2 linked regions of the Danio rerio genome follow. The protein of the gene in region 1 interacts with the protein of each later gene in a biochemical or structural test. Links are inferred from orthologs where the notes say so. Each region holds a gene or a part of one and is shown on either strand. Other genes may lie near its edges.

Evidence for each region.
Region 2: the proteins of runx1 (region 1) and elf2b form a complex in vitro, tested with the Homo sapiens proteins (2 studies listed by BioGRID and IntAct). The link is inferred for Danio rerio from reciprocal best matches to the Homo sapiens genes RUNX1 and ELF2.

The regions. Positions count from the first base shown.
Region 1 is NC_133176.1:2,052,162-2,055,846, forward strand, and holds part of runx1 (runt-related transcription factor 1), read right to left. Parts: intron 528-3,685; coding exon 402-527; intron 1-401.
Region 2 is NC_133176.1:15,381,616-15,385,895, forward strand, and holds the start of elf2b (ETS-related transcription factor Elf-2b), read right to left. Parts: upstream 2,980-4,280; 5' UTR 2,635-2,979; intron 1-2,634. UniProt on the Homo sapiens protein: Isoform 1 transcriptionally activates the LYN and BLK promoters and acts synergistically with RUNX1 to transactivate the BLK promoter. Isoform 2 may function in repression of RUNX1-mediated transactivation.

The DNA of each region.
Region 1 (3,685 bases):
GTAATTGTTAATTTACAGCACGGTTGTAAATTTTAGAGTATCACTGGCAAAATATAGTAGTTCAGTCATTCATTTTCCTTCAGTTTAGTCCCTTTAATCATCAGGGGTTGCCACAGCGGAATGAACCACCAACTATTCCAACATATGTTTTACACAGCGGATGTCCTTCCAGCTGTAACCCAGTACTGGGAAATACCCATACACACTCATTCACACACACTCATTCACTATGGCCAATTTAGTTTATCCAATTGACAGAAATGCCAACTGGCCCAGCTGGGACTTGAACCAGCGACCTTCGTGCTGTGAGGCCACAGTGCTGACCCATGAGCCACCACGTCACCTCTGAAACTATATTGAAAAACAGGAATAAAGCAGTAAGTGTGAATGTGTAAACTCACAGTGTAAAGCCGTCCGGTTGGGTGAGATTGGTGTTGTAGGGTGGACCGCTGGGGTGGAGATCGGGCCCAGATATGGGTACGACTGCTCATACGACCAGGATGGAGACGTCTGCATCTGCCGGGAGTCTGAAAACACACATCTAAGACTTCAGAAAAGCTCTTGATAACACCAACCTGGACTTTCTCTTTCATTATTTCAGCAAATAGGATTGTAAAGAAAAGATTTGTTGTGCTCTCGCATTCACTGCGTTCACCAACTATGAGCAAAGATGAGAAACAAGCTAAAGTGGAAAGGCTCCATAATAATAATAATACAGTGTGTAATGAACGCTGCCGATGGCTTGCAGACTTCCAGACTAAAGGGGAGAGAGAGAGAGACAGAGAAAGAGAGAAAGTGGCCTGTTTTAAGTTGAGCCAGAGAATGAAGCGCTGCCAGAGCCAGAACAGGCAGAACCAAACACACAGCAGCAGGAGACACACATGACTGGAGGAGGCTGGAGGCACATTCAACATCCGCTCACACACACACACACACACACACACACACACACACACACACACACACACACACACACACACAAACACACACACACACACACACACACACACACACACACACACACATAAATACACACACATGTTGCCGACTAATACTAAAAGCACTTGGTAACAGAAAAGCCTGGTAAAGGTTGATCATACTGTGAATGCCGTACAGAAATCAAGACTTTCAATTTAAGACCAAATACTAATAATAAAAATAAATGTGAATACATCGTGAAGCTGTGAAGAAAATAGAGAAAGAATAATGAGTCTGTGTGTGTTTCTGTCTCTGTGTGTATGTGTGTTTTATGTATGTATGTATATATATGTATATATGTATGTGTATATGAGTGTGTGTACATGTGTAGGTATGAGCATATATGTGTGCATATAAGTACAGTATGTGTGTATGCATATATGTGTGTGTCCACGTACTCTCTGTCTGTGTGTGTGTGCGCGTACATGCGTGTGTGTGTGTGTGTGTGTGTATACATGTGTTTATATGTGTATTGATGTGTTTTTTGATAAACACATAAATAAACAACAATGCATACTGTAGTATACTTTAGTCTTTACTACATTAAACTGTGGTGTATTGTAGTACAACACACCCTATAATTGATGATTTGTTTATATTACCTTAGTTCTTGCATTACCATAGCAACTGTAGAATCAATACAACAGATTAATTATTAAAGTTTTTGTGTTACCATAGCAACTGTAGAATTACCACAACAGATTATTTACTAAAGTGTTTGTGTTACTATAGCAACTGTAGAATTACTACAACAGATTATTTACTAAAGTGTTTGTGTTACCATAGCAACTGTAGAATCACCACAACAGATTATTTACTAAAGTGTTTGTGTTACCATAGCAACTGTAGAATCACTACAACAGATTAATTATTAAAGTTTTTGTGTTACCATAGCAACTGTAGAATCACCACAACAGATTATTTACTAAAGTGTTTGTGTTACCATAGCAACTGTAGAATTACCACAACAGATTACTTACTAAAGTGTTTGTGTTACCATAGCAACTGTAGAATCACCACAACAGATTAATTATTCAAGTTTTTGTGTTACCATAGCAACTGAAGAATCACTACAACAGATTATTTACTAAAGTGTTTGTGTTACCATAGCAACTGTAGAATTACCACAACAGATTATTTACTAAAGTGTTTGTTACCATAGCAACTGTAGAATCACCACAACAGGTTATTTACTAAAGTTTTTGTGTTACCATAGCAACTGTAGAATCACCACAACAGATAATTTATTAAAGTTTTTGTGTTACCATAGCAACTGTAGAGTCACCACAACAGATAATTTATTAAAGTTTTTGTTACCATAGCAACTGTAGAATCACCACAACAGATTAGTTACTATAGCTTTTGTGTTACCATAGCAACTGTAGAATCACCTCAGCACATTAGTTACTATAGCCTTTTTGTGTTACCATAGCAACTGTAGTCACCACAACAGATAATTTATTAAAGTTTGTGTTACCATAGCAACTGTAGAATCACCACAACAGATTAGTTACTATAGCTTTTGTGTTACCATAGCAACTGTAGAATCACCTCAGCAGATTAGTTACTATAGCTTTTTGTGTTACCATAGCAACTGTAGAATCACAACAACAGATTAATTACTATAGTTTTTGTGTTACCATAGCAACTGTAGAATCTCCACAATAGAGCCATTTAAGTATGGCTGAAAACACTAGAGTATTTACTGTAGATTAGTGTAGTATTGTGTCATGTGGAATGTAAAGGTAAACTGGTCTCCACACGTTCAGTCAAACACACAGCTGCTGCTGATTTACAGAGACGCAGCGGAGGAAAAGAATCAGCAGCAGCAGCAGCAGCTCTTCAATGACTTAATAACGGTTTCCGCTGGCCGAGATCCTGCTGCTATTTCTGTCTGGAGGATCAGAGAGAAACGTTCTGTTCTGCTGCACTTCAGCCATTCACACTCTCACCACTCCATCATGCAGATCACTGACACACACACACACACATACACACACTTGTATACACACACCCACACACATACTCAAACTTGCATGCACATACACACACAGACACATGCACACATACACTTTTTATTCTCTTTATTCCATCTTCTATCATCAAATGTAACTAATTATGTAATTATTAATCAGAATTTCTATAAACTATTAATAATAAAACAATTGTATATAAACATAGATATATAATATATACGTAATAATTGATCAACTGGCAAAATTCTAATATACTTTTATTTATTAGTCACAGACCGGCTTATAATAACGCACAAAACTTAATGTGATTAATAATGATTAATAACTGATGGATAAAATCAAGCAGCTCTGGCTTCGGTTGCGCTTTGAATGAGGGATTTTCACACAAGCCTGTTTCCTGTCAAACGCGTCTCACTTCCTCTTTTCTGCGTTCTGCTTCCTCCTCGTCACACACGCATGCAAGGTGCTGGTGTCGTTCCGTCTCTCACACACACCTTTCTCCCATCTGCACGCGCCAAGAGGAAGAGAAACTAAGAGGATGTCAGTGTGTAGAGCAGGAGGCGGTGTGTGCTTCGGATTGGGAAATGTTTTCAACAGCGCATGAAAAGCAGAAGTGCCAAACATAGAGCTGCAGCAGTCGGAGCGCTTCCCAGAACACCACGCTCACTGTCCACACCGCTGATCAGAAGGCTGTTTCTTTTAAAGGATGCCTTTTTAAATATGGCATTAAA
Region 2 (4,280 bases), about 13 Mb from region 1:
AAAAACATGCTGCATTTCTCACAACACAAAAAGAAACAAACACAACGGAACCATTTCAAGGGAGCCCAAAAACATGATGGACACTGCTATGCCGAGAATTTTCCTCAGTGAAGCTGTAGGTGATATTTGTTTATTTTAATATCCCGATTCCCTTGTCTTTAGGATTTATTAGCCTAAATAACCATAACATAAATAGCCGGGTCCGTCACATTTTAGGGTCTCCAAGAAACATTTGCAGAGCGTTTTTATAAAATGTTTGCTTTGTGAGAAAATGCAGTGCATTTTATTAATTGCATTGTGATGATTTGCAACATGTATGCTTTCAAACAGATAAAGATCTTTTATGTAATCGCTGGCATTTTTTGTAATTTGCACGTGTTTTCTTAAATTGCAGCACGTTAAGCTTTCTCGGCCACTGTAGTAATACAAAAGTTTTTACATTTGTTAAGAAGAATAGTCAACATTATCTACCACTGGCAAAAATTTCTAAAGTATTTATTAATTTTATTTTGCATTACATTTATATTTAGTCATTCAGCAGAACCTTTGTCCAAAGTGACTTACAATTGAGGAGGCATTCAGTGATTCATGAAGAAAAGGCAACACCCAAGAAGTGCTAATTATACAAGGAAACTGTTAGTGCTAGGGTAAAACCCTGCTCACACTGTGAGATTTCAGCCATGATTTTGTCATCTGAGACTAATTTGGGAAATCCTAAATGATTTCTGAAATCCTAGGCGAAAATCGATAATCTTTGATTGTTGGTTTGACATGTTCACTGACAGCCGCTTGGTGCCCGTTGCGATCAGATTTCACTTTTCTGCAGTGTGACAACAGCTGCAATGAGCGTCAATCCAAGAACCAATGGCAGTTTCGAATTTGATGATGCAATCCATGCGACAATTCAATTGACAGCAGGAAAACGTCAAAACTTTTTTATTTTTTTCTGGTTTTATTATGGAGACAAGCTGTGCACAAAATTGCCGTTACAGATAGTTTACGTTTGCTGCGAAGAATAATTTCACAGCGTTGGATAGTGAAAGTATCCCGGGCCGATGACGTCAAACTCCGGGAGCATTCTCTTTTATGTTTGTCGCATCCTCATTGTAGTTCAGTCTGACTTTATGACAGCTGAGATCTGTGACATGGGAGACTTGTTCGTGCAGTCTGATCCTATTCTTCAATGCGGAAGTGCGCTCGTTTTTGCGATTGTTTTAGAGCTTCCGATTCAGCTGCCAATGGGAGAAATTACTAAGAATAATAAACGACAGGAAACTGTCAAACTACTCTCTCTACAAACAAGTGTTTGCATGGCTATAGAGACAAAATAGAATAATATAAGCAAATATCAGTTGGCAACATCAGGCAGCAAAACAAGCTGTTTTTAATGTCTAAAAATCGATGGAAGTGAATGAGATCGGAAGTCTCGAGCCAAAAAGATTGTGCCTGCTCAAACGTCGAGAATAAAGTGAATAGAGTGAAGAATGTTTCTACAGGTGGTTTGCCACTCACCTGTGTGAAGCACACTTCATGAATGCATGGTGTTTTGCTAGAGATATGTCTGGTGCAAATTTGCAAAACTGGTGCAAGTGTTGGTTAAAGTGGTAGAGATTAAACAGTGTGTTTTCTACAGGTGATTTGTCAAGCCCACTCAGTGAGGTGCACTCATATTTGAAATAGGTCAATTTCAGTATTTTCTGACACATTATTGAGGTCAAAAATTATCTCTCATGGTTATTAAATGGACATATGCTAACAATAAACCAGTTCTTTTTAATACCATTACAACCCCAATTGTACAATATGTAAAGATCAGTAGCCTAGATAGTCAATCACCCCTTGCCAAAGGAATTGATCAAATTGTAGAAGAAAAGCTTGTGGCATGATTTCAACACTAGAGTAATGCCTTGCTTATAAGATCGTTATCAGACTTGTCTGCATTTCACAGTAACAATTACATGTCAGCAAATACAATCCTGACATTTACCATAAGCGTGCATGTAACATCACTGTTTACACCAGTGACTACAACAAAGTCCTGATCCTGCACTACTCTCTCCAAATAAGTGGGCGTCACAATATAAACCCTAAAGGAAATAACACAAACCGATGTTATCTCAATCCCTTAAAAGGAAAACCTACACTTAAAGTATAGATGTACTCTATTAAGGAATAAAGACAGCTTTTTTTGAGCATAAACCTTGTGAACATCGAACATCTCTGACACAACTGCCGTGGATACATTACAAAGCTAAAATATAAATCTCACATAAGCTAATTTAATTTTAAAACCCCTTACTTAAACAAAAAGTCACATTTTAACAAGAAAACAGATGTATGAACAGCGTAACGTTACATGGTTATAGTTGTCAACTCTGCTAGCATTTAGCTTAGCCAGTCTGCAAAATGACGACACATGCGAGCTGAAACACAACAAATGCAGCCACTTCTAAACATATAAAAGAAAAAAATACTTGTCTACATTTAAGGCATGCTCTTTATATTGCAAAGAGAAACTAAAGAGCACCGCAAAGTGCCTCATTAGCTTCGTTACACAGAGCTAAGCTAATACAACCGCAGAGTCCCTGCTAATGCTTCTTCGGGGTATGGGTGGCATAAAAGTAGATTTCTTACCTTAAAAAGCTGATTTTCCGAATAAAACCCACGCTCTGAGTAGGTCTGGTTTACACAGATATAAGAAACATGGAGTTTGGCCGCGGTGGTGTGTGAGAGCCCGTCAGACTGTTGTCGTTAGCGGCTAAACGCTAACACACCTGATCATCACATACACATATATACGGGTCTCTCCAAACAGACACACTGAACTAGTTCACTGACTACTGATGATGATGATGATGATGATGGGCCTCCAGCACTACCCACTAGTGCAAGTCAAACCAGACTCTATGATGATCAGGCACAGAGGACACGATGTTGTGTTTGCAGACTGTATCCAGCTCAGAATCATAGCAGTAAGACACCGACCGAGAGAAAGAGAAAGAAGATAAAGAGAAAGAGAAAGAGAGAGAGAGAGAGAGAGAGCCCACACCCTCAGAAGTTAATTACTGCCTCGATGTTTAATGAAATAATAAATAATCAAAGACAGTGTGTATTTGGTGTTGTTTTCATAATTAATGATATGTCCATTTAAATCTTTTAGCTATATTTTGGTCTTTATCATTCCTATTTTGTTCTCAAAATATTGCAGTATATGTAGTGTTGTAAGCACAGTCATGTCATAAAAAGTTTTACACTTAAACCCGCAAGTTTTTAGGTCCTTAACAAAACAAAATACAAAAACAAAAGCCTCTAATGATAGCTAATATTAATTTTATATGTTTACCACTGGAATAATGAAAGCAAGTGTGTGGCAAGGCACGTGCTGTTATAAATCACACAACTGAAACAAATTTCAATATTTATAACCATTCTTCATTTTTCGTCAGAAACATATAAAATGTTTTAGCAGAAAATACTAACAGTAACATTTATACAATAATGTAATATGTTGAGCTCATGGATGTACTATACTATGAGTGATTAATTAAAACATATAAATATGTAGATGTGTACATTTGTTTAAACTTACAGCATAAATATTAGCCATATAGGCTACACATCAGTTTCTTTATTCAAATACATATTTGTAATTGTGTGCTGAGGGTGCTTCAGCATCCCCTGCCGGAAGCTGTGAAATTTAACATGACATGACTAGCATTATAATTTTTTATCATTATAATTTTTACTATCATTATTATTATTATTATTATTATTATTATTATTATTCATTTTATTATTATTCATTTTGTTATTATTATTCATTTTATTATAATAATTATTATTATTATAATTATTATAATTAATATTATTCATTTTATTATTATTCATTTTGTTATTATTATTCATTTTATTATTATTATTATTATTATTATTATTATTATTATATTATTTTTTATTATTATTAAAATTTGTACAATTACTAATAAATTGTTCAAGATATTTTTTTCAGTTTTTACATTTTATAAAATGTGGTTTGTGCCAGAAAATAAAAAAATAAATAAAAATGAATCTTATGTGAGGGACATAACTATGTTTAAATTAGAATAGTTGAATATAAAAACCCTGCCCCCAAACATATGTATATCAATTTATAATAGAATACACACAATTTATAGATTACCTTAAAACCGGACTTTTATTGAAATTTGTCTGCAGTTTAGTTTGCATCAATAGTTTTCAGAATATTTGGAAAAGTACAGATTTCCAGCAAATATGTCGTA